2 linked regions of the Saccharomyces cerevisiae S288C genome follow. The protein of the gene in region 1 interacts with the protein of each later gene in a biochemical or structural test. Each region holds a gene or a part of one and is shown in the gene's direction. Other genes may lie near its edges. The genes, in order: LFT1 and LAA1.

What was found.
Region 2: the proteins of LFT1 (region 1) and LAA1 form a complex in vitro, tested with the Saccharomyces cerevisiae proteins (one study listed by BioGRID).

What each region holds. Positions count from the first base shown.
Region 1 is NC_001145.3:201,146-212,035, reverse strand, and holds LFT1 (Lft1p), read left to right. Parts: upstream 1-6,627; coding exon 6,628-7,650; downstream 7,651-10,890. Other genes in the region: SRC1 (Src1p), read right to left, coding at 1-465, 592-2,511; AMD1 (AMP deaminase), read left to right, coding at 3,176-5,608; CGI121 (Cgi121p), read right to left, coding at 5,743-5,832, 5,939-6,394; YMD8 (Ymd8p), read left to right, coding at 7,933-9,261.
Region 2 is NC_001142.9:37,724-53,299, reverse strand, and holds LAA1 (AP-1 complex accessory protein LAA1), read left to right. Parts: upstream 1-5,866; coding exon 5,867-11,911; downstream 11,912-15,576. Other genes in the region: RCY1 (Rcy1p), read left to right, coding at 149-2,671; NCE101 (Nce101p), read left to right, coding at 2,857-2,888, 3,032-3,161; YJL206C (uncharacterized protein), read left to right, coding at 3,365-5,641; NUC1 (ribonuclease), read left to right, coding at 12,117-13,106; CBP1 (Cbp1p), read right to left, coding at 13,331-15,295; PEX2 (ubiquitin-protein ligase peroxin 2), read right to left, coding at 15,566-15,576. UniProt on the Saccharomyces cerevisiae protein: Involved in localization of clathrin adapter protein complex-1 (AP-1) and subsequent AP-1-mediated clathrin-coated vesicle cargo loading.

The sequences.
Region 1 (10,890 bases):
ATGCTCTAAATATTTTACCACTTCTGACCATAATTGATTTTTGTATTTCAGATCGACAATATCAGAAAGAAAGATGTCACGCAATTGAACTATGCTCAAATACGCGTTTTCTTTCGGATCGGACATTGATTTAATCTTTTGGAATTTCAATTTTTCCATGGTTTGAGTAACGAGTTCTTCAATTCTTGCCTTCTTTCTATAATAATTCTTCAGCTTGATCTCGATTACTTTACTAATGACTATCAGTAAAAACATTAGCCATATTGGCCTTTGAAATTTTTTATACGTTTGGTAGATTTCTCTTTCAAATCGACACTTCATTCCAATGTATTTCTTGGACGTCGACCGAAAATTCCTCGTCTTGGAGATGAATTTTTCTGGAAGATGTCTCTTCTGTCTCGGAACGTCATTGGTTTTAATGATGTTGTTGGAATTTCCGCCAATGTTGTTGTCAGTGGGTGATAACTAGAGAAAATTAGGAAAAGATGTTAGTAAATAAATCAAAAACAAAAAAAAATTCAAAAAAAATTAAAACTGTTATCATATAATAACAGGTTTAATAATTTTTGTAAGATAATAAATTGTACTCACTTGCCTCCATAATATTTCTGGTTCTTCAGTTAAATCTTTGATAACTTGGATCCACAGGTCCTCAAATTCATCGTCGCGAATCCAAGGAGCTCTAGCCTCATTAAATATTTGATAGAGGGCATCTTCCGTCATACCACTCTCGATGTCGTCTTTTCCGTCACCGCATGAAATTTGTGCATTTTTGGCTCTCAGAAACTCTAAAGATTTTTCAACCACTTCGGAAACTAACTGCTGTTTTTTGTCGTCTTTAACACATTTGCCTTGTGCAGGAATAATTTCCAAAAAGTCAAGTCTAGATGGTGCTAACTTGTAATCTGGCTTACATTTAAGTTTCAAATAAGGATAACAAATACCATTGGGTGGACAAGGGATACATTTCGGTCTGTAGTCCTGCAACAAATTATCCAGTTTTTGAATAAACTCGAAGGAATTGCCACTAACTCGATGGGATGGTACTTCATGCCCACAGTAACCTATGAGCAGTCTTTGCTCTCTATACCAGAGGCCAAATAAGAGAGGAATAACAATGAATATGCAAAATAAAAATAGCGCCAGTAATGATTTGCTCAAAAATTTGAGTGCTCTTTTGAACTTATGCCTGTTCCCGACCTTCCCAGATCCTTGCTTAACATCAAATTCACTCCCATTTTCATGCTCTAATTGCTCATTTACTTCCTCTTGAAGTTCTTGCACTCTTGCTTCACACTTTTCGACGTCTTTCTCTGTGGGTAATTGGGGAGTCTCGATCCTTGTAGGCACTAAAACTTCATCTTCATCCGATACCAAGTTACTACTATCTGTATCTATCATTTCGACCACATTATTGCTGGTATTACCCATAGGCTGATGAGGACCTGGCGTGGTGATCTCTGGAAGCAAGGGTGCTTCCGACTCTGAGCCAGAGCCTTCGGACGAAAACAAAGACGGTGTTCTTTCACTCTGAGAAGGTTCTTGCTGTTCCACTTCTGGAACCAGTATTGTAGATGGTACCTCCTTTTGAGGCAATTTATCCGCAAATGAGGCAGAAACTTTTAACTTACTCAAGGGTGTGCTATGGCCTGTTCCATTGGCAGTTCCGAGCTCTTTTGGATTGTGTCGTATGTTCGGTACAAATGGATCATTTTCCGTACCGCTTGAAGTCAACGAATCGTTAAAATTATCCATGCTTACTGGCTTTCTATTTGTGTTCTTTATTGGTGTTTTGACGGAAAGTTTTCCTAAAATGGCAGAGCCATTTCCATGCTCTTGGTTCAAATCACTCGTCTTACGCTTTTTTGCCTTCTGGTAATCCTGTTCAATTTCTGAATCTGATGATAGGAGGTTCAAATGCTTATTATCGATTTTATTTTCCTTTGAATTAGATTCAGACCAGTCGTCAGAATCAGGGTCTTTCCTTTTCTTACGAGTATCGGAATTTTGCTGGAAATCATTGGTGTCTGATTTGTTGGAGCTTGATGTTATCACATCATCCTCTTCATCGTCCACTTCATCGGTATCCGTTCCACTAGGTACAATTAAAGGATCGTCTTTTTTATCATTGTCATCATCATCATCATCATCATCATCATCATCATTACTTACATCATCCAGTATTCTATTCTTCTTAAACTGTTTGGCCATGGGGGAAGCAGATTTCTCCCTGCGAGCTCGTCTACTTCTACGAGGGGAAGCTATAGATGGGGAAGATGAGGGACGGTCCATTTTCACAATACCTTCATCGCTGGGCCGAACGTTCAGATACATTTTCCGTAACTGCGGGATCTGCGGTTTAACCTTTTCATCGAACAGCCCCACCAGCGCATTTTTCCTAGCATTAGATGGGAAATCGACATTATTTTCTACCAATATCCTCCTCAAAGTCGCAACTTTCATTGAATTCGGATCAAAACCGTCCTCTAAATACTCCAAGTCACTATTCATCGCGGCACTAACTGAGTACTGCTACCGTTCTACTGTTTGTTGTTCTGGCCTCTACGTTCACTCCGTATGGTCTCAGTCTACTATTAATAATGACTGAGGACTATTTCTCTTCCATGTATTCCGCATAGTATATTGACAGCTATACAAGTAGATCGATGTCCAGATTAGCCACCACAAATTGAAACCAAAACAAAAACAAAGGGGGCTTCCTAAAACAGTAATTTTGAGGGCTCTTTAAAACCCTTGATTTCCGTTCAGGGTGATCAATATATATATCCTAGTTATTTTATAGATGCCCTAACTTTATTTTTAGGGCACGTGGGGGTCTTCTCTTTTCTTTTTTCATTCCTTTTTCATCTTTTTTTTGCGCCTGGCGATGATGAGAAAGGAGTTCTAGTAGCACAAGGTTTAAAGGATATTATCAAAAAATAGATAAATTTTAAAAAAAAAAAAAAGGCATCTCTTGACGACTTTTCTTCTCTCTCTCTACAGGCAGAATTAGCAGCGTTTCTCGTATACTAGTCAATTATCGGATATTAATAGTATTTTTATTATAGTCTCCCTGCTATAGCCAATTTTGATTCAGCAAAACTCGATTGAACTGCTAGTACGCCAGATTAATAAATTATATAACAAATAAAAAGGGGGCATTCTAAAAAAAATTATGGACAATCAGGCTACACAGAGGCTTAACGACCTTTCTCTAGAACCAGCTCCTTCACACGATGAACAAGATGGTTCAGGACTAGTCATTGACATAGATCAAAGAAAGATTGGTGATGAACAAGCTGGTGTCGTAGTGGATGATGAGACACCCCCCTTAGAGCAGCAAGATTCACACGAAAGTTTAGCTGCTGATTCTCGGAATGCTAATTTCTCGTATCACGAGAATCAGCAGTTGTTGGAAAATGGCACCAAACAGTTGGCCCTAGATGAGCATGATTCTCACTCTGCCATCTTGGAGCAACCATCGCATTCTACCAATTGTAGCTCTTCCAACATAGCAGCGATGAATAAGGGCCATGACTCGGCAGACCATGCATCTCAAAATTCCGGGGGTAAACCGAGGACCTTGTCTGCTAGTGCTCAGCATATCTTGCCAGAGACGCTCAAGTCATTTGCCGGCGCTCCGGTAGTGAATAAGCAGGTACGTACCTCTGCCTCCTATAAAATGGGAATGTTGGCTGATGATGCTTCACAGCAGTTTCTTGATGATCCCTCTTCCGAGTTGATTGACTTGTATTCCAAAGTGGCAGAGTGTAGAAATTTGAGAGCCAAATATCAGACCATATCTGTGCAAAACGATGATCAAAACCCAAAAAATAAGCCAGGCTGGGTAGTCTATCCACCACCACCTAAACCTTCATACAACTCAGACACTAAGACTGTTGTGCCAGTAACAAACAAGCCGGATGCGGAAGTTTTCGATTTTACGAAATGTGAAATTCCTGGTGAGGATCCAGATTGGGAATTTACCCTCAACGATGACGACTCGTACGTGGTACACAGATCAGGTAAGACGGATGAGTTAATTGCTCAAATCCCTACCCTTCGTGACTACTATCTGGATCTAGAAAAAATGATTTCCATCTCATCAGACGGTCCCGCTAAATCATTTGCTTATAGAAGGCTGCAATACCTAGAAGCACGCTGGAATCTTTACTATCTCTTGAACGAATATCAAGAAACTAGCGTTTCCAAAAGAAACCCACACAGGGATTTTTATAATGTTAGGAAAGTGGACACTCACGTTCACCATTCTGCTTGTATGAACCAAAAGCACTTATTACGTTTCATTAAACACAAATTGAGACATTCCAAAGATGAAAAGGTTATTTTCAGGGACGGGAAACTACTAACTTTAGACGAAGTATTCCGTTCTTTGCATTTGACTGGATATGATTTATCCATCGATACTTTAGATATGCATGCACATAAGGATACATTCCACAGATTCGATAAATTCAACTTAAAATATAACCCTATCGGTGAATCTCGTCTCAGAGAAATTTTTTTGAAGACAAACAACTACATCAAGGGTACCTACTTGGCTGACATTACCAAACAAGTCATATTCGATTTAGAGAATTCAAAATACCAAAACTGTGAGTATAGAATTTCTGTTTATGGCAGGTCTCTCGATGAATGGGATAAACTAGCTAGCTGGGTGATTGACAACAAAGTTATTTCCCATAATGTTCGTTGGTTAGTCCAAATTCCGAGGTTATATGATATTTACAAGAAAACTGGCATTGTTCAAAGCTTCCAGGACATCTGTAAGAATCTGTTTCAGCCACTATTTGAAGTGACCAAAAATCCTCAGTCTCATCCAAAATTGCATGTATTTTTACAGAGAGTAATTGGGTTTGATTCTGTCGATGATGAATCCAAGGTTGATCGCCGCTTTCATAGGAAATATCCCAAGCCATCACTCTGGGAGGCTCCTCAAAACCCTCCTTATTCCTATTACCTGTACTATTTGTATTCAAATGTCGCGTCTTTGAATCAATGGAGGGCTAAGAGAGGGTTTAACACTTTGGTTTTGAGACCACATTGTGGTGAAGCCGGTGACCCCGAGCATCTCGTTTCAGCATATCTATTGGCACATGGTATATCACATGGTATTTTATTGAGGAAAGTTCCATTTGTTCAATACTTATACTATTTAGATCAGGTTGGTATCGCAATGTCACCCCTTTCTAATAACGCATTATTTTTGACCTATGATAAAAACCCATTTCCGAGATACTTTAAAAGAGGTTTGAATGTCTCACTATCCACAGATGATCCTTTACAATTCTCATATACCAGAGAACCATTAATCGAAGAATACTCAGTTGCAGCACAAATTTATAAATTGTCTAATGTAGATATGTGTGAATTGGCAAGAAATTCCGTGTTGCAAAGTGGGTGGGAAGCACAAATCAAAAAACATTGGATAGGGAAAGATTTTGACAAGAGTGGTGTTGAAGGTAACGATGTGGTTAGAACAAATGTTCCTGATATTAGAATTAACTACAGATACGATACATTATCAACTGAACTGGAATTAGTTAATCATTTTGCCAATTTCAAGAGAACCATTGAAGAAAAGTGATGGTTATACGCGCACATGTATATAAGGAGAACTTTTGGCAGTTCGATACACTGACTTCACGGAGAACAAATAATACTAATCTGAAAAATAATCAAAGAATTTTTTTTATAATTTTATCGTTAGATATCTCTTATCTACACACCCCTCAATTGAATAGCGTCTACCAAAGCTCTTGAGAGACCATTTACGTCTTGGGGCTTGAAATCATCACTTAATTTATAGATCTAATAGGTAAAAACAAAATAAAAGGAAAACAAAGGTGAAGTTAGTACAATGTGTTTCTGGTGAGGCTGTTGAAGTTTTTACCTCGAATTTATTATTAAAACATACTTTTCTTATGAGCGCTTCGTCATAAAATCTCGATAAATTGTCATCATTAAACTCGATCTCTTGTCCTTTTACTATAGAAGTCATAATCGTCCTCAATTGCTCTTTGTCTACATCGTCAGTATTAGTATGGAACTTAAGGCATATTAACTGTGACGAATCGTCTTTGATTCCGAATTTGAGGAAAGCATCACTAATATTGGAAGTGGGTGAAAGACATAGTACGCACTCGGAATTCAAATTTCTTGTTCTCATCTTGTTATATTTCACTTCTATTAAGGTCTTGTAAATTGCAGAATACATCTGCTCCCCCGAACAGACTAACCGGGGGTCAATAAAGGCAAAGGATGTCGACAATTCACTCATTTTAGAGCGTATTTCTTTAGCATTTTTAACCTGTTCAAACAATGCTAGTGAAACCTTGATATCAGGAAATTGCGGTATGATGGATACTACCATGATGATTGTATAATGGGCAGCGACGACGTATATTTGGTTATATCGACAAATTTGTTGACCGATAAAAGATTGTTGATGTATATTTTGGTTTGCAATTGAAATTTTCGCGCAAAAGATTAAACATGAAATATTGAAATCAATGGTATTAATGATCAACGAATATTACAGATCATCAATTAAAGAAACAAGCATTGTCAGAATCTAAGCTGGTTATTTTTTGGGAAGGACAAATTATGGACGAAAACAAAATAATCGACCAGTTGTTCAGTAAGGAATACACACCGCAAGATGACTCCGAGCAAGCCAAAAATGGAGATGTGTCGTTATATGGGTTATTAGATGAAGTAGCGAACGGTAGGCGGTTGATGAACTGTTTGTTTCATTCACCTATGCAAATGGGGAATAAATTGAGTACCGACAAACTTGATGGGAAATGTCGGCAAATACAAAGAGATTGGATTGATGAGGAAAAAACCATAACTATGAATTCTGGCGCTTTACAGCTGGATGGGCCAGTTCTATTTTCCTGGAGTCATAATGTAGCACCTACTTCTCATCAAGAAACTATAAATACAACCTTCAAGCAGGGCTCTCCGAGCAGAGGAAGCAACAAGCCCAAAATTACTACTACCAGTCAGTTATTTGATAGAGCTTCTGCTGAGATTGATAAGTGTATAAAGCCCAATAGCAAAAGTTGGATGGTGGAAGAAAGATTTGAGAGAAATGAGGCACATACAGCTGATGGCAAGAAACCTTCTACGTGGGCTAATTCCGATTTCAAAGTGGACCCGCTACAGAAATTCGTTGTTAAGGAATTGCCCAAAGAAAAGAAGAAATCAGACGGTGATAAGACAAAGAAAAATAAGTCGAAAAGGAAGAGTTTTTTTGGATTTTGGGGCCATTCTGGTTCTAAATCAGGTTCAAAAAAGAAATCCGAAAAGCCTATAGAGGCCAAAAATGAAATTCAGGATGAGGTAAGCCAAAAATCTGGCCTATCACCTGACGATGATACAACTTTCAGTGATAAAAATACCATCCAATCAAAGCAAGAGAGTATGAGTGATCAACAAGCTGAACCCAAAGTACACGAGCCCGCAGTTACTAACACTGGATGCAGTGAACATGATGATGGTGATGGATTTGAACAGGTACCTGCACAATCTAGTTATCATCCATCCAGCGAGCCCAGCATTGCCAGCACTCCTTCATTAACTCTAGATTCATTCATCCCATTACAACCAAAGAAGAAAATATAATAGATGCTTGTAGGCTTCAACATCTATTAGAGTCATCGGCGACGAGACGCCAAAAAATAAAGCGCAAAATAATCACACCCATTTTTTTTGTCGAGAATGAGAAGGAGATGGCTTAGAACTGGAAATATAAGGGATAGTGGCATCACGAGAAGCTGTTGTTCTGTTTTTTTAAAGTGTCAATTGGCCTGATTATACTCATAACTGCATTTTCATCACTTCCACGATCACTTGAAGTTGTTACAGCGAGTGTTTATACCTTCAATTCTCGTGTCACATTTTGCTATGAATAGGACTGTCTTTTTGGCATTTGTATTTGGATGGTATTTCTGTTCAATAGCTCTCTCCATATACAATAGATGGATGTTCGATCCGAAGGACGGATTGGGTATTGGGTATCCCGTGTTGGTGACAACATTCCATCAGGCTACTTTATGGTTACTATCCGGCATATACATTAAGCTCAGGCATAAGCCAGTGAAAAACGTTTTAAGAAAGAATAATGGTTTTAACTGGAGTTTTTTTCTAAAATTTTTACTCCCTACGGCAGTCGCTTCTGCAGGTGATATCGGGCTCAGTAACGTTTCCTTCCAGTATGTTCCCTTGACAATTTATACAATTATCAAATCTTCGAGCATAGCTTTTGTCCTTTTATTCGGCTGTATCTTCAAGCTAGAAAAGTTTCATTGGAAGTTGGCACTTTCAGTAATAATTATGTTTGTTGGTGTAGCATTAATGGTTTTCAAACCAAGCGATTCCACCAGTACCAAAAACGACCAAGCCTTGGTCATTTTTGGCAGCTTTCTTGTCCTAGCAAGTAGCTGTCTTTCTGGGTTAAGGTGGGTTTATACGCAGTTGATGCTTAGGAACAACCCAATTCAAACTAACACCGCTGCAGCAGTAGAGGAATCTGATGGTGCCCTTTTCACGGAAAATGAAGATAATGTCGATAATGAACCTGTTGTTAACCTCGCCAATAACAAAATGCTGGAGAATTTTGGAGAATCCAAGCCTCACCCAATTCATACAATCCACCAGTTAGCTCCTATAATGGGCATTACTCTGTTGCTTACCTCGCTACTTGTGGAAAAACCATTTCCTGGTATATTCAGCTCTAGCATATTTAGGCTTGATACGAGCAATGGCGGTGTCGGCACGGAAACTACCGTCCTATCCATTGTGAGGGGTATTGTTTTGTTAATTTTACCTGGTTTTGCAGTCTTTTTGTTGACAATTTGTGAGTTTAGTATTTTGGAGCAAACGCCCGTGCTGACCGTATCTATTGTGGGTATAGTGAAGGAACTTTTGACGGTAATATTTGGTATAATTATTCTTTCTGAAAGATTAAGTGGTTTTTACAATTGGTTAGGAATGCTTATTATTATGGCAGATGTATGCTATTATAATTACTTCAGATATAAGCAAGATCTATTACAAAAATATCATTCAGTTTCGACACAAGATAATCGTAACGAGTTAAAGGGATTTCAAGACTTCGAACAGTTAGGAAGCAAGAAAATCGCACCATATTCTATTAGTGTCGACCTAACAAATCAAGAGTATGAGCTTGATATGATTGCTCAAAACGTTAGTCGTTCATCCCAGCAGGTCTGAGAGCGATATAGTAAGAGAGAGAAAGAATAAAGGCAAAAATTTAAAACATGTATACAGCATACTTAAAAGTCCTCTAACAGGACATAAGCAAAGCACATGGGAATAGACAATACATCCGCACATAATTAAAAATATTTTACTAGATAGATTTTATACGAAGGTTCTTCACACTTTTTCATATATACTTTATTGACAGTTAATAAAAGAACATTATCAAATTTATACCTTTGCGTTTTAGACACTAAATTATTGAATACAGGAAAGAAGAGGCACTTAGATAAATCTTTAGAAATTTACTTATTTCTTTCATTTAAATTGGCCAATGCTTTTGGATCCATTCAACTGCGGCCGTAAAAATATCGATGCGCTTGCATTGTGTTCAACCTCTGTCTCGCCGAATCTTTAGCTGAAGTAAGGAAGAATTGTTTGATAATTTTGGTTAGGTAAATAATTTCACGTATAATGAACCAGAAGTCCTCGAGAAAACTGGAAAGTTAACGAAACAGAATGAGCATCCTTACACAATTTTAACATTCATCTGATGATTGCTGATATTCCATTGTTGATAAAGGCTATAATATTAGGTATACAGAATATACTAGAAGTTCTCCTCGAGGATATAGGAATCCTCAAAATGGAATCTATATTTCTACATACTAATATTACGATTATTCCTCATTCCGTTTTATATGTTTATATTCATTGATCCTATTACATTATCAATCCTTGCGTTTCAGCTTCCACTAATTTAGATGACTATTTCTCATCATTTGCGTCATCTTCTAACACCGTATATGATAATATACTAGTAATGTAAATACTAGTTAGTAGATGATAGTTGATTTCTATTCCAACATACCACCCATAATGTAATAGATCTAATGAATCCATTTGTTAGTTAATAGTTTAAATGTTTTTATCGGAAGAGGTTTTGTCATCACATCAGCAATGTTCTTCTTGGTCTCGATGTAGTATACGTATAAATTATTACCTGATACTTCATCTCTAAGTCTCATTGCCTTTGTGCCAAAAAATCTGTTTCTAAATTTCTCTTCATTTGTAGACTTAATTATACTGATCGTTGATCTACTATCAGTAAGTAAGCCTTTAATAATTGGTTTCTTGTTAAGTTCTTGTATCAGGTAACTTAGATTATTTAATAATGGGACAGATTCACTTATCGCGTGTATTTCTGCTTCCGTAGTTGAAGTACATGTTAATGAAGCCTTGGTGGACTTTCCTCCAATTACCTTTCCATTAAGTAAATATATGTTGCCAATTTGTGATTTATAATACGGTTGGTTGCCATACGAAGCATCACTTATTGCGACTAGTTTATTATCTGGCTCGGTAGGTTTGTTTTTGTGCCATATCAGTTGTTTATCTCTAGTGTCCCACATGAATTGTATCAACTCATATGTCATGTCTAAAACTTGCCTAGAGGGGAATAGTATATGTTGAGCAAGTGTGTTGATGTAGTATAGTAAGTCAAATCTAAATTTATATCCAACATATGAAGCTAGACCAATCAACTTTTGCATTTCATGTACCTTCTCTTTGTATTCATCTTCATCTATTTCTAGTTCATCCTGGTCTATATAAAGACCTGGTTGACCTGGAGCGCTAAGT
Region 2 (15,576 bases), on another chromosome or scaffold:
CTTATTTCTTCCTGTATTTAAGTGTTTCAAGGCTAACTTTTGCCGAAATATTTCGTTGAAGGAAGGTTCTTATTTTATCAAAAAATGGTCAACAGACAAACAATAGAAAAACCAAAAGAAAACAAAAGCTTTTGAGGAAATCGGTAAAATGGATGATCTGCTAAAAGTTCCCGAGATTGTAACCAATATTGCCTCATATTTATCTACTGTAGATTATCTGAGTTTTCAACAAGTGAATAAACGGGTTTATGCAATCATTAACGGCAAAAATGATTCAAAGTATTGGTCATTGAAATTGACTAGAATGGGTCTCCAACAGGTGCATTCAAATGAAGAAGAAGAAATTACGTTGCTGGATGAAAATGATAATCAAAATTCCCTTCGCATCTTCGAAATATACAAATCTTTCACTGCTCAAAATTCTAAAAAAATCTTTGTGAAATTTTACCGTTGTTATAACTCATACGCTAGGAAGCTATATAATAATAATCTAGCAAATTTCTTTCCTACTTCATATTCCAACGATCCGTTGAAACAAACAAGAATTCTAAATTTTATCAAAAAGTACAATTTCTCGAATAAAAATGATATAGAAACATTTACTAGGATTGAAACTAATTTCAACATTCTTAGGGAAATCTTCATTAATTCTGTTCTCAAAGAGTCAGAATTGAATTACCAGTCTAATAATTTAGCTGCCGTCGCTCGTTTCATGAAAATTTTATTGATATCTAATGAGGAAAGCAATGCTATCGAATTTTTCAAGTCAAAGGCTGATTTGCCTCCCAGTTTAACGGTTTTGCCGTCTAATGATGAATTATTTTGGGCCGAACAACCAAGGGAAGAGGACAGCGGTGGGAGTACCGTGATATTTAATTCTAAAAATTTAGATACGTTTCTCAATCAGCTAAGGGATTTCCTCAACGAAAAGATTAAATTAGCGGACATTTTATTCAAAGATGAGTTCCCTGTAATATTACAGTTCATCGAGTCCTTTATCCAAGATATTTTATTAGATATTTTAAACAATATCTTATTAAGCTATAGTGAATTTTTAAAAGAAAATGGAAAGGATAGTAAAGCCAATTATGAATGCGTACCCGAACTTTATTTCACATTTATAAAAAAGTTTGATACTGAATTAAACGACTCAGTAAACGCAGGCGCAAATTTCCGTAAAGTTGTTCGTGACCTTTTAAACCTGTATCTCGAGCCCTTTGTTGTCAACTATATGAATCAGACAACTAGAGTATTTGAATCATTGATCAACTCACAATTAGCTAATTATGACACACAAGTTCAAGACAAGCAGCGTGAGCAAAACGCAAAAATTTATAACACTTTAAAAGATCAAACGGATGCTTCGAGTGCAAGTAACAATGAATTGCCGAATGACCTCTCAATAATTACTGAAACCTCCAAAACTGTCCCAGAAGCGGATTCAAAACCAAGTACGATCCATCAATCAGTTCATTCAACTGATATTTCTAATGATAAACTAGACTTTCTAAGTTCCTTCACCAAGATTTTCAAGTTCTCGAACAATGAAAATCAAAGGCTAAAGCAACAACTACAACTAGCCTACAACTTAAATTTAATTTCCAATAACTTGCAAAACATTAAATCGTTAATAAGTCTCGATTTATGTTACAAAATTTTACAGGAAACAAGCGAAAAGACGGATCAAATTTACAAATTTCATACGATTGAAAGTTTGCTACCATTGATCAAGCTACGCTGTCAAGAGATTTTCAAAATTTTAATTACACAATTGAATAAAAATCACGTTAAACCTGCATTTGAAAAGGCAATCCTGCTACTACAAAAATATAATCCTAACGAAATAGAACAAATAGAAATAAAATTCAATTCACTTTCGCCAGCCAATACTCAAGTCGAACCTTTAGTACAATTCACTGAACTTATCAATATAGGTGACATAATATTACAAATGATTTCCATTTTTTACAAGAACGAATTGATTCCCAAAAAAATTATCGATAAAAATAAAGATTTTCTTAATGATGTTATCCAATTAAAAAAAAATTTTGAGACTTCTATCGATGATTTTGTAGCCGAAGGTTTAAATATCGGTATAAACAAACTAATGGATGAAATCTCATTTGTATTCAAGACTCTTCAATTGCCTGACGATTATAATCCACCGCCACCCTCTAGGAATTCTCCAATAAGGGATATAAAGCCAACCAAATGTGCTATCAGGGTAGTCGAGTTACTTTCTAATCATTGCTTTCTACTGACTGGTGCCACAGACAAGGGTACTATTGACGTGTACCAACAAGAAATTGGCGAGAGATTCTTTAATGAAATCGTCAAACATCTGAAGAAGTGCTTCATATCTACGGAGGGCGCAATTTGGTTAATCTGCGATTTAAATTACTTTTACGATTTTATTGCTAACAAATTAAAACAAAAAAATGTTGTTCCCTATTTTGTTGGGCTTAAGTCTATTGGCCAGTTATACATCATTTCAGGCAAGGACTCGAAAGAGTTGGGAAAGCTTATTTCTGATCTTGGGAAATTCAATGGCATTTTTACGCAAGAGGAAATTTATGAATTTGTTCAGAGGAGAAGCGATTGGGTTCGTGTACGGAAAGACGTTGAAAAGGTAATGTACGGCCTAGGCATACGAGATTGCTGCATTATGTAAATTCCTATCAATGATTAATTATATTACTCTATATAGGTATGAAGTGCGGAAATAAAAGACTGTTCACATATTAGATTATTCAAGATTACGCGGGCTCTATTTTTCCCTGTTAGCCACACGCACACAAGGGGCATACAAATGTTCACTCCATTTATAAGAGGATTCCACACAAGATCATCGATAACATGGTTCAGTACGCTCCCTTTCTATTAGGAAAGTATGTTCATTCTTCATACGCTATTCTATTTTTTTTTTTTTCACACTTATTCTTTTACTAACGCATAGTTAACCATTTGCTGTTTCGAAGAGGCAACATCAAACAAGTCGATGTGCTCTTTCCCAAGCTGGTCTCTATTGCAGATTTTCTGATCCGTTATTGGCAATTATGGTAGGCTGTCTCAGCTACTATGTGTACGAAAGGAAAATGGGGCGTCCACAAGGTCATCATTTACACGAGCTCATAAAGAAGCGATGGGACGATCGCAAATAATAATCCGGCGTGAGGGGAGTATATATAAGTTTCTGGCGATATGTAAATACCATAATAATTAATCCTAGGATCTACCTTTATACGCATTTATCCTATAAAAACCCAATCTTTCAGATCCACAGTATTTTTATATGTGTGATTTCCTTGATTGTCTCAATTTAAAGAGTAATACATACAACTTAGACCAAAGAATTATTCAATAGATGACGCCGAAAGAATCTGGAAAGCCTATTTCGTGTGCAATGAAGAAGTTGAAAGGCAAGAGATCTAAGATTTTGGTTTTATCTAGAGATGCGGGCACCAACGAATTGAAGCCAACGAAAGGAAGAGCACATCGAGCTTGCATAGCTTGCAGAAAGAGGAAAGTACGATGTAGTGGTAATATACCATGTAGACTTTGCCAGACTAATAGTTACGAATGCAAATATGATCGCCCCCCACGGAACTCATCGGTATTTGATAGGGAAGTAAGCGATGATAGTTCCTTATATGCACAGAGAGCTTCCCACGAACGGGAAGATAGCAAGGGCCCTATAAGTTCCATTGATTACAAAAAGGTTGTAGAGACGATCTTTCCACCTGAAACACTCCGTCAAATACTTGCTTCTTCTTCTTTTAACAGCCAGAATTTTTTGGACACTATTAAAACGTGTCTACTTCAAGGACAATTAAATGTTAATCAGGTAATACGTCAAAGTCTACCAAAAGATACGCCTTGGCACATGCAAACAAGTGTTCCATTACCACCCAGAGAGATTGCCTTGAAATTTATTCAAAAGACCTGGGATTGTGCCTGTGTGCTATTTAGGTTCTATCACAGACCTACTATCATTTCTATCTTGGACTCGATATACGAAGCAGAAAAACATGGCAAGCAATATACTCCAGAACAAGTGAAAACACAACCTTTAATTTATTCTGTTTTAGCAGTCGGAGCCCTTTTTTCTAAGGAAGATCTCAGCAAGGATAGTAAAGCAACTAGGGAATTTTACACTGATGAAGGCTACAGATACTTTTTAGAGGCCAAAAACTCTTTGGACTTTTCTAATATTACTGACATCTATTCCATTCAAGCTATATTTATGATGACGATCTTTTTGCAATGTTCAGCAAACTTGAAGGCTTGCTATTCGTTCATTGGTATCGCTCTGCGTGCTGCGTTAAAGGAAGGTTTACACAGGCGGTCTTCCATAGTTGGTCCTACTCCGATTCAGGATGAGACAAAAAAAAGGCTCTTTTGGTCTGTGTACAAACTAGATCTGTACATGAATTGTATTCTTGGTTTTCCAAGCGGTATCGACGAATCTGATATCGACCAAGAGTTTCCTCTAGACGTCGACGATGAAAATATATCTACTATTGGAATAAAGTTTCAAGATTGGCGAACGATAAGTTCCTGTGGAATGAATAATAAGCATACAAAGCTTATTTTAATCATGTCTCGGATCTACAAGCTAATGTACTCTTTGAGAAGAAAACCATTAGAAGAGGATTCTAGGACGCAGATTGTATCGTTGAACGATCAATTAGATAATTGGTATGCCCAATTACCAGATATTTTGAAGGTTGACACAATACGGTATCGTCAAACGCAACCACCTCTAACTGTTTCCGCAAATGATACTAGTTCTCCATACACTAAACCTAAGAAATTATTATATCTGGACTTCCTTCTATCCAAAATCGTACTCTATAAACCATTCTACCACTATATTTCTATAGACCCGTTAGATATCCCAGAGTTCCAATTTCAAATTCACATGGCGGAAAACTGTATTGAAGTTGCCAAAAAAGTTATTCAATTATCTTATGAAATGATTACGCAAAACCTTTTGAGTGGTAGCTACTGGTTTTCCATTCATACAATCTTTTTTAGTGTTGCTTGCCTCAAATTTTATGTCTACCAAACAGAAAAGGGCCTGATACGAAATGGGAAGGTTGATTCGGATATTCATAACGCTACGCAGCTTGGCAGTGAAATATTATCACTTTTGAAGGGTGCTTCAAATGCGAGTAAACGTACTTTTGAAGTATTGAACCAATTGTTCAAAGAGTTTAACGAGAAGACCTCTGTATTATCTGAACAACTTTTGAATATAGTTAAATTGCAACGGCAAGAAAGTAGTGGAGCTTTAGTGCCCCAGTTGCAGACAAATAATAATTTTACGAAGTGCCAAGGAGAATTACATCATGGACAGCAGCATCACCAAACTCCAGCCACGAGTCTTCGTTCCATTCTGAATCTTCCACAAGGGGAAGCTGATCTAAAGTTTCAGAATACCAATAATGAGAGCCATACAACGACAGCTGCACAAGAAGAATACTTAGATAAACTTCTAGCAGAATTTGAGGAATTTGACTACTCAATTAACAGAGTATTACCTGATGTCATCGATTTTTCAGCACTAATTGGCCAAGATTCTTCTGCCAACAATCAAATATTTTCCTCAGAATTCAGCTCTGACCCAACAGTAAATTGAACCTTTAAACTCGCGACTTCTTTATATCTGTATATTCTTCTACATCCTTCTTTTTATGTATTATTATTTTATCTGCTTCCTCACACCACATAGTGGCATACCGTGTGTGGCCGTTTTTTTTTTCATCGCCATATTGAAACAGTGATTTGTTATTATTCAATTGAAATAATAGTTATTAGGTTTAAAAAAAACTAAAAGATAAAATAAATAGCCCAGGCCACGAAAATGGCAAACCGATCCCTCAAGAAAGTGATAGAAACATCATCAAACAATGGTCACGATTTATTAACTTGGATAACCACCAATTTGGAAAAGCTTATATGTTTGAAAGAAGTTAATGATAATGAAATACAGGAGGTTAAGGAAATACACACTCAACTGGATGAGTTTGTGAGGTATATCTCCGTACTAGAAAATACGGATGATTTAGAACTGCATTCAGTGTTTATCAGTTTGTCTCAGCTCTATACGATTTCCATATGGCGTTTGAAGGACGAATATCCTGGTGTAGTTTTTGATTCCGCAGCATTCTTAACAAACGTATTGTGTGAAGAAGATGTATCCATTGATGATGGAGATACCGACCCTAACCAAAAGAAAAAAAAGAAGAAGTCAAGTACAAAAAAAAAAAAGTACATATACTCACCGGCAAAAGATATCGCATGTACCATACTTGTTCAATTATTTGAAAATTTTGGAAGTAGCATCTCTTCCTTAATCCCATTGTTATTTAATGCTATTTTCAAAAACCTGAAAAAAATTATGGAGAAAAGTAAATATTATCATGCTACCTTCATGACAACCCTTCTTCAGCTTTTTAATGCGATTCTAAGAAATTCCAATAATGATGATAAAATCCTTGATCCAGCCACATATGCGAAATTTTCGAAACTATCCAAAACCGTTTTTGACAGTATTTCCACTGATGAGAAGGACTTTTCAGTTACTTTTGTGTCTGTCCTAATTGAATGCTGGACAGCTCATTTCAAACAAACTAATTTTATCAGAGAGCACTCCCATGATATTATAGAGACCATATATTCTAGATTTACCGAAGGTGAAATAGGTGTTTATGGTTTTGCAAACGACGAAACTCGTATCTTTACCGCAAAATCTTTAGCGGAGATATTATTTGATTATTACTTTTCTAAAAATATTTTAACTCTACAAGAAGTATGGTCCATCTACGTTAAGATATTCTTAAACTGTGATACACGAGACGTGGAAAGTGGTTGCTTCGAATCTATTATTCATTTGATAAACTTGAATTTATTAGCTGACAACACTTTTTTGAGTAACTCAAAATATTTGGATATAGTTCTCTCTTTAAGCGGCGTCTTCAGCAGTTACGAAGTGAATAATAGGAGCATGAATACATTATCAAGGTATTTGAGATACTTTCAACATATGCATGAAGTAATATTGCCACATTTGAATGATTCTGCAAAGACTCAAATGTTGTACTACATCCTAGGTTGTTCTGATACTTACCAGAGCTCCTCTAAAAGTGATTCAGCTTCAAATTTCAAATATAGTATTGATGCGAAGCCTGAAACACAGTGGCTTACATTACTGCAGCTTGACTTCACGTATGTGTTAATCAGCGACTTAGGTTCTACTTTCACCACTGAGGAAAATACCGTTAAAGAGATTAGAGATAAACTGGTTGATTTAGCTACATGTGAAATCTTTACGATACGAGTTCACACTGTGGAAATTTTGAAGGTTTTTTTGAACAACTGTCCAGAATATCTTTCGGAGACCATTGAAAACTCCTTACGTGCACTATCCACTGATTTTAAATCTACAGGAAAATTTATTTTTCATAAAAATCATGGCCATGCTTTTATAATAGCAAATCTAATCAAAGGTGCCGAGAGCGATTATATTTCCTATGAGTTGATCATGAGAATTACAGTGTTTTCTACATCATTCATTAAGAATAATACTACATCTACCTCTTCTAATTTGTACTTCAAGGGTCTTTTATGCTGGATATTATTGATAGGATTGATGAATTATAAAGATGAACAGTATTTGAAGCTGCAGATACCCCAACTATTTCTTTTCTGGAAAGTTTTATTAACACATACCTACACATACCACGACGAGGATGAATTATACAAGAACCTAGAAATCCGAAATCATGCATTGACTTGTTTATTGACGTATTTAAGCAATACGACAATTGATAAAGAAATGGCTAAACAAGTATCATATTTGCTAACTAAGTGCTCCAATTTTAATCATTCCATTGACCTGAAATCGAAAAACATTGACAATGCTTTACTGCATAATGAAAACAGAATTTTACAGGTATACCTTAAGCTGGAGAAATACATAAATAGCGATTTTAATAGTTCTTTACTAATATTAATCGTGAAGAATTTTTCAGATCCCAATCTTTACACCGAGTCAAGTAGTTCCGTTTTGGGAAGCTTGAAAGATATTGGTAACAGGAAAGTGAGTAACAAGGACGACATGGAAAGTAATATAGTATTAGAATCTTCAATTAATACTTTACTTCGTCAAAACAACGGCTTTGCATTCGGCCTATCCAGCAAAATAACTGGGGACCGTATCGTGAATTTATCGATGTCCAGTGCTTACAAGTATGATGAATCAATAAGTGGAAGTTGGCCATCCAAGGATTACAATTGGTACAATATTTTCGAAGTAGAAGTATCAAAACCAATTTCACCCATTTTATCTTTAGATTCACTGATTCTACTATATGGATCTGGGTCTTATTCCCAAATTGACCGCTACGCACCTCAGGTCACTACATCTTTAATCGACTCTTCTATGGAACTTTTTTCATCTGTATTCCCTTTTTTGAATAGCAAAATACAGTATTCCATTATGGAAACTTTAAATTTGTCCATGTTCTCCAAAATGACTACACCATTGAGAAGCGTGGCTGTGGCTGCTAATGTTTGTAGTGCTCTGCATAATGCTTTACGCATCATGCAAGAAAACAATCTAGAGTTGGACTATTCAGTGGGGCAGCTAATTATCGAATCAATAAAGAAGATTCAGTTTTTTAATGACATTTTTCTCACAAAAATCAAGGCAGATTGTGTAGGATTGCTGACAGCGGCTATCGCAAGAACACTTGGCGATGAAGAAAGACAAAAATTCCTTACAGAGCAATCAAGAATATTCATTAAAAACGTCGCAGATATGGACGAACCATACTTAAGGATGTTTCATGTCTTATCATTGGCTACAATTTTTAAATATAACTCACAATATGCTAATTTTGAAGAATACTTTGATGTAATTTTTGCATTAATGAGGGATCCACACCCTGTTGTTCATTCATGGTCATTGAAAGCAATGCATATTCTTCTTGAGAAACATTTAGTGATTGATTTAAAGACGGCAGCTCTGTTGCTAAGTTCTATGGAAGAGCTTTTGGTCCAGGATAAGTATGGTATTTACGGACGCTCTACTCTTCGCTGTAACTATAATAGGGACTTTAATTCTCACGTAGCAATCGGTGAAATTTCAAGGACATTGACTGAAACTGTGGGGCCAAATTTTCTAGAACTTAACACCAAGGTTCTTGATTCGTTCAGAAACATTACACTCTCCATGTTAATTTCAAATAATATTCTCAACAGCATAACCAGCATTAAAATGTTTGAAAACATAGCTACTTTTAAAATGAAAAACATTCTAAACTATGAAATCTTTATTCTTGCTTCTAAGAGCATAATTAAAAGTTCAATAGTGACTGGAATAGGCTCATCATATTTTGACACTACATTCACGGGCTCAAATGAACTCATTTCTCGAACTTCAAGTCTGAAAGGCGCCTTTGAAAACTTTGATTTATTGACGTTGTTGTACAAATTACAGATGGAGGAATTTTTCATGAAAGAAATGGAAAATTTGAGCTGGAGATATCTCGCACTTTTTCCAAATTCCGGTTCTGTCAAGAATTATTTTACCGAATGGATATTACATACTTTCAAAAGAGATAATCATTGGTTCGATAAATTATACTCAATATTTAATATGAGTTTAGGAAGACTCTTCCAAAGCTATAACAGAGACGTTTCAGCCCTACTAGAGGTAAATGGCCTAAAAAAATCTTCAGAAAAGGAAATTAAAGGCGAAGAAGAAGAATCAATAGCGAATGTTAACCAACTGACTGACACAGATGCTGGTGGTCTCGACTCTGAGAACCTGCAATGGAAGAGCAGACAGATTATCTTAAATTTAATATTAATGTTGTGCTTAGAATCCGAAAAATATGAAAATCTGCTCCTTGCCCTCAGCAACAAAATTGCAGATCTCATTAAAATATCATTTCGTGGATCTACAGTGAGGAATGAAGGCATGAAGTTAACGGGACTACACATTTTGAATTTTGTTCTCAAGAACTACTCCACCATGAGAGATCCTCAGGTTCCTGGATCGTCGATTTTAGAACAGCAAGAGGCCCAAATAACTAGCGCATTAATGCCTGCTTTTAGTAAAGGAAGCTCACCTACTGTAATGTCCTTTGCTATTACTGTTGCTGCTGAAGTGTTGGCATCGAATATAATGCCACCAGATAAATTGGGAAGAATTTCACAATTACTAATTGACCTTCTTGGTAACTTTAAAGATCCTAATTCCGGTATACGGATAGGGGAAGCTATAATCGTTACACCCAAAGCGAAAAGAAAAATTGAACTTGCCGTTTTGGATGCGTGGGCTGAGGTAGTGCAAAGATCCATCACGTCGTCAAATGATGCGCTTTTCTCTTTTACCAGGAAATATTGGAGCATTTTAGTCCCATTATGGATCATTTCTTTACGTGAATACATGATGATAAAGTATAACGATAATGATTCTACTGTGCAAGTAAAGAATGACTCGAAAGAAAATAGTCTCATTGAACCAAGAAGTACGAAAATTGAGTTATATGAACCGGTCTGGTTAAATTTCGTAGAGGCCCTTGGGTGCACTCTGGATTCAGACGTTCAAGTCATTTTGGCATCTCTTAACGATGAGGAATTAGAGTATTTTCTTTTTATTTTATTTAGCCAATGTTTGGAGGCTATCGTCAAAAATATTGATGATCATTCAGTCAAGATGCAAGTTTTACCGGCTTTACACAATGTTTTGAAGAGCAATCTGTGCATAAAAAGTATATTTGAGGATGATATTATTACTGAAGTTGTTGAGATTATGGACAGACTGATTTCTACAGGCGACAGTAAAGAAGAATTTTTGCTTGTTGATATCATCAGTGACTTGATCATTGGGTATTCGAAGTGTAATGCTACTCCTGAAACATTTCTACAAGATATTGACAAACTATATGAGCTACTGCGACTACTGATGACAATTATTTCTGAGAGGTTGCCATTTATTAAGTATAACGTGCTTACCAGCGAAGAAGATGATAATGAAATAAAAATCTCTCCCACAGATATTAGTCTGTTGAAAAAAACATTTATTGCGTTCGAATCAAATATCAGTAACTTCGACAATATGTTCAAAGTAGATCTTTATTCATGTCTTTTATTCATCATAGGGAAAATTTATGAATGTAGTCATCGTGAAGTAATAATTCCAATCATACTCCCACTTTTCAAGGCACTAGTAAAAGCGCTTACGGAATCTGAGGACGAAAAAAATATTGTGTTACTAGAAATATTCTACGGGTCAATAAAAGATGTTATTTATCATAAGCTGGATTCAAAGAATAAAGTTGCAACCATTTTGATCTTGCTGTCTAATGGATACTCTAAGCTAAGTTTTCAGGAACTGAATCAGTGCGCAAATATTCTCTCGGAGGCATTGAATAATCCTGCTACGCAGCCAATTGCTCTACAAGGCTTCAAGAGAATAATATCTAATATTTTCAAATACCCGTTGTTGCAGTATTTTATGAAGTTGGTTATAAAAAGATTCTTTCAAGATATTCAAACAAACGATTCCTTATCGCAGGCAAGCATTAAAACTAAGTTGATAATTCAGTTTTCCGAGGAAGTAATCAAACAAGATCACCAAAAGGCATCATTGTCAATTGCTTTATGTCTTTCTTTCTTTGCCGCATATCATAGCGCATATACAGAGAAAATAGACAACGAAGTAGCAAGTGGCATAGTTGCTTTGGCTAAATTGGACAAAAATTCATTTAAAGAAGCCATTTCTAGCACTATAAGTCCTCAACAAAAAGCAATTATAGGTTCCGTGATGGAGGCATACGTTAAATCGCAGTCTTTGGGCTCTGTCGAAGAGGCCTTTCAACTGAAATCTTTCGACTAATTGCAAGTCGGATGCATATGCACGGAAATAAAACTCATCGCGAAAAAAGAAAAAAAAAATAAAATCTGTGAAAAAATATCAATGGTGCAATTGGTTATTGGTCACTCATCAAGTAATTTGTTAGTTTTTATAGAGTTACAATTGTATAAAGATAAGAACATTTAGTTAAGTTCCCCACTTATTAGATCCCAAAGTTAAAGTTATCATGTGCAGTAGGATACTCTTGTCCGGTTTAGTCGGACTGGGTGCTGGTACTGGCTTAACCTATCTTCTTTTGAACAAACATTCTCCAACGCAAATCATTGAGACACCTTATCCACCTACCCAGAAACCTAATAGTAATATTCAATCTCACTCTTTCAACGTCGATCCTTCCGGGTTCTTCAAGTATGGTTTTCCTGGTCCGATTCATGATCTGCAGAACCGCGAAGAGTTTATCTCATGTTACAACAGACAAACTCAAAATCCTTATTGGGTCCTCGAACATATAACGCCAGAATCATTGGCTGCAAGGAATGCTGACAGAAAAAATTCCTTTTTCAAGGAAGATGAAGTAATTCCAGAAAAGTTTAGAGGTAAACTAAGAGACTATTTTAGGTCGGGCTATGATCGAGGCCATCAAGCCCCAGCTGCAGACGCAAAATTTTCTCAACAGGCCATGGATGATACATTCTACTTATCCAATATGTGTCCTCAAGTAGGAGAAGGTTTTAATAGAGACTATTGGGCGCATTTGGAGTACTTTTGTAGGGGATTGACTAAGAAATATAAGAGTGTAAGAATCGTGACTGGTCCATTGTATCTACCCAAAAAGGATCCCATAGATAATAAATTTAGGGTTAATTATGAAGTTATTGGCAATCCACCCAGTATTGCTGTTCCAACGCACTTTTTTAAATTGATTGTTGCAGAAGCACCAACAGCCAATCCTGCTAGAGAGGATATTGCTGTCGCGGCATTTGTATTGCCAAACGAACCGATATCAAATGAGACGAAATTGACTGACTTTGAAGTTCCTATAGATGCTTTAGAGAGAAGTACTGGGCTAGAACTTCTGCAAAAAGTACCACCTTCAAAGAAGAAGGCATTATGCAAAGAGGTAAATTGTCAAATTGTAGTGAGAGATTTCTCTAACGCGGCGATCAAACAATCGAAAGATGTGAAATTGTTACCTCCTCCAAAAAAAAGGAATTGAATGTACTGAAAAACTGTAAATATAAATTAATTCATAACACAACGATAGAATAGCATGAAAGAATATAACAAGTCTAACGCATATAACATAAAATAATACATTTATTTGATGATCAAAAAAAGAAAAGAATTAGGATGCAATGCTTGGATTTAGTATATATTTACAGAAATTTGTTTTGTTATTATTTGCTTTGTTATTTATATCGTAAATGTGCGTTTGGCCGTTCATCTTAAGTAACGTTTGACAGCCGACACACCATGCTTTTTAATATCTTGTATGATCTCCTTGTTTGTTTTGAACTCTGAATTTCTAATTTGATGTTTTAAGATGAAATTCCAGTCTAACTTCAATTCCTCAATCGTCATACCGTTCTGGTATAGTTCTGCGCACGCCCAAAGAAAAATGTCTGTTCTTCCTATCTGCAGTGCGCTTAATGCAATATTCCTTAAAATAGTAAACCTGTTTTGATTATTCACTTTTAATTTGACATCACATGGGGAGGATGCAATGAATGGGTTACAGTTCGATTTTGTCCAGTATGTTTTACTTCTCTTTGCAGCATTTATATAAAGTAGTTTTGCCAAATCGATATCCTTCTTGGCATTGGCAACAAATTTACCATCTCGCTTTTTATAATGACAAAGTTTTTTAATGTATAAAGCGGAAACCACATTCCAAAGAGAGTTTCTGTGGTCAGGATCAAAATCATGTGCCTTCGTCAACAAATCGTTTACAAGTGCCATCAAATTATCGGTGAACTTGACCTTTGAAGCCAATTTCCAATCAACTACTTCGTTAATTATTGACCCATAGGCTAACATTGCTTGTCCGGGGGGTATAGTATCGAGTAATTTGACTGCCTTAGCGATATGATCGAGGTTTTGTGTTTTGAAAAGGTGAATAATTATTGCTTGATAATTTTCTTGCGAAAGCGCCCTGAAATTTGTTGTTATTTGCTTCAAAACCCTATCTACACCGTTAGAATCGTTAAATTTCAAATGCATTCTTAGCAATGAAGAAAGACATCTCTTGTTAAGCCAGACAATATGATGGTTTTCGGGTAAAGTGTATCTGTTAATGTTCTGCATGAGTTCCTTGGCCATTGTTAAAGAGTCTTGCTTTGTAATGAAGTCAATAATTGCCGGTAATATCAAAGGGTTATTACAATAGTACTCTGGAGTTAATTGCCAAAACATTTCGCTACATATAGATCTATAGGCTCTATTATGGGTACAAATCTTGAAGACTTTATAAATGATTCTGGAATCATGTGCAGAAATGGAAACATAGTGCTCTTTGATTTTGTTCCAAATAGAATACACACTTGCAACATTTCCTCTTCTATAATTTTCATCAATGGACTTGTACGCAAGCAGCACTTGATCATCCCGAAGCTTCAAATCGTTAGTCAAAGAATAGTTTATATTCATCAGTTTGTTCAGTATAGCCTTGCATAATTGCGGGGCTTCATTACTTAAGCCGAGGGCCTTATTAGAAAGAGTTTCTAATTGAAACCTCGTTAACTTTATTCCGCCTCCGGTTATACTTTCGAACAGAGAGTTCAGTTGTAAATATTTGACTAGATGAACATGATCATGCAGTGGGTTTGGGTACGCTAATACTGATATTATTTTCTTAGCATATTGTTCGTCTAGCTTTTTATCATCTGTAAATAATCTGTAGTACAGCAGGAAAAGGTCGGCAGCCATAACTATGTCTCCTGTGCCGATGGCATCATCAACACACCAGCGCATAGTATCCAATTGCGTAGTCAAGGGCTTTTGATGTCTTACGGATGAAACTTGGGAGACCACTTGATTGACTAGATCCAAGTTTTTCTTGCATTGGTACAAACATTCTCTTCTATAAATTCCTCTTGTAGTCATAGATGAGGTTTTTGTGCGATTGATGAAACTGATGAAATCTTCGATCTTGACCTCGTGTAATATAGAGCTTTCCAGTAAGCTATTTTCTTGTTTCCGAAGACTTTTGTAGTCCGCCATGTCAGACCAATATTTCCGTATTTTCAACTTGTCATTGTCATTTAAATTCGCATTTGCTTTGATAAGGGCCAAGACCTGTTTTTGAATTGGATCCCTGCTGCTGTGGTTGATTCGTCGCAAGGTCCTGGTAGGTACCATTTTTATAAACCTCTCGGTCCTGTACCGAACGAGACGAGGTAAAAACATTGCATGGAAAGGGAAACGTGCAAAATGCAAACTACTGCTATCCTAAAGTGCTCACTGTTTATTATTACTGGATTTCAGACGTCGCTTCCCACATCGTCCCGTACAGCGTTCCATGATGATATTATACCACTTCTTTATTGTTTCTTTTTTTTCTTGAGCAGAAAGTGAAAAAAAAAAAACCAGACCCTTTACCACGTGACCGATTTTGACAACATGAATATGAATATAGTATACACATATATAGAGATACAAGCGAGGGAACGGGGCCCTTTAGTACACTG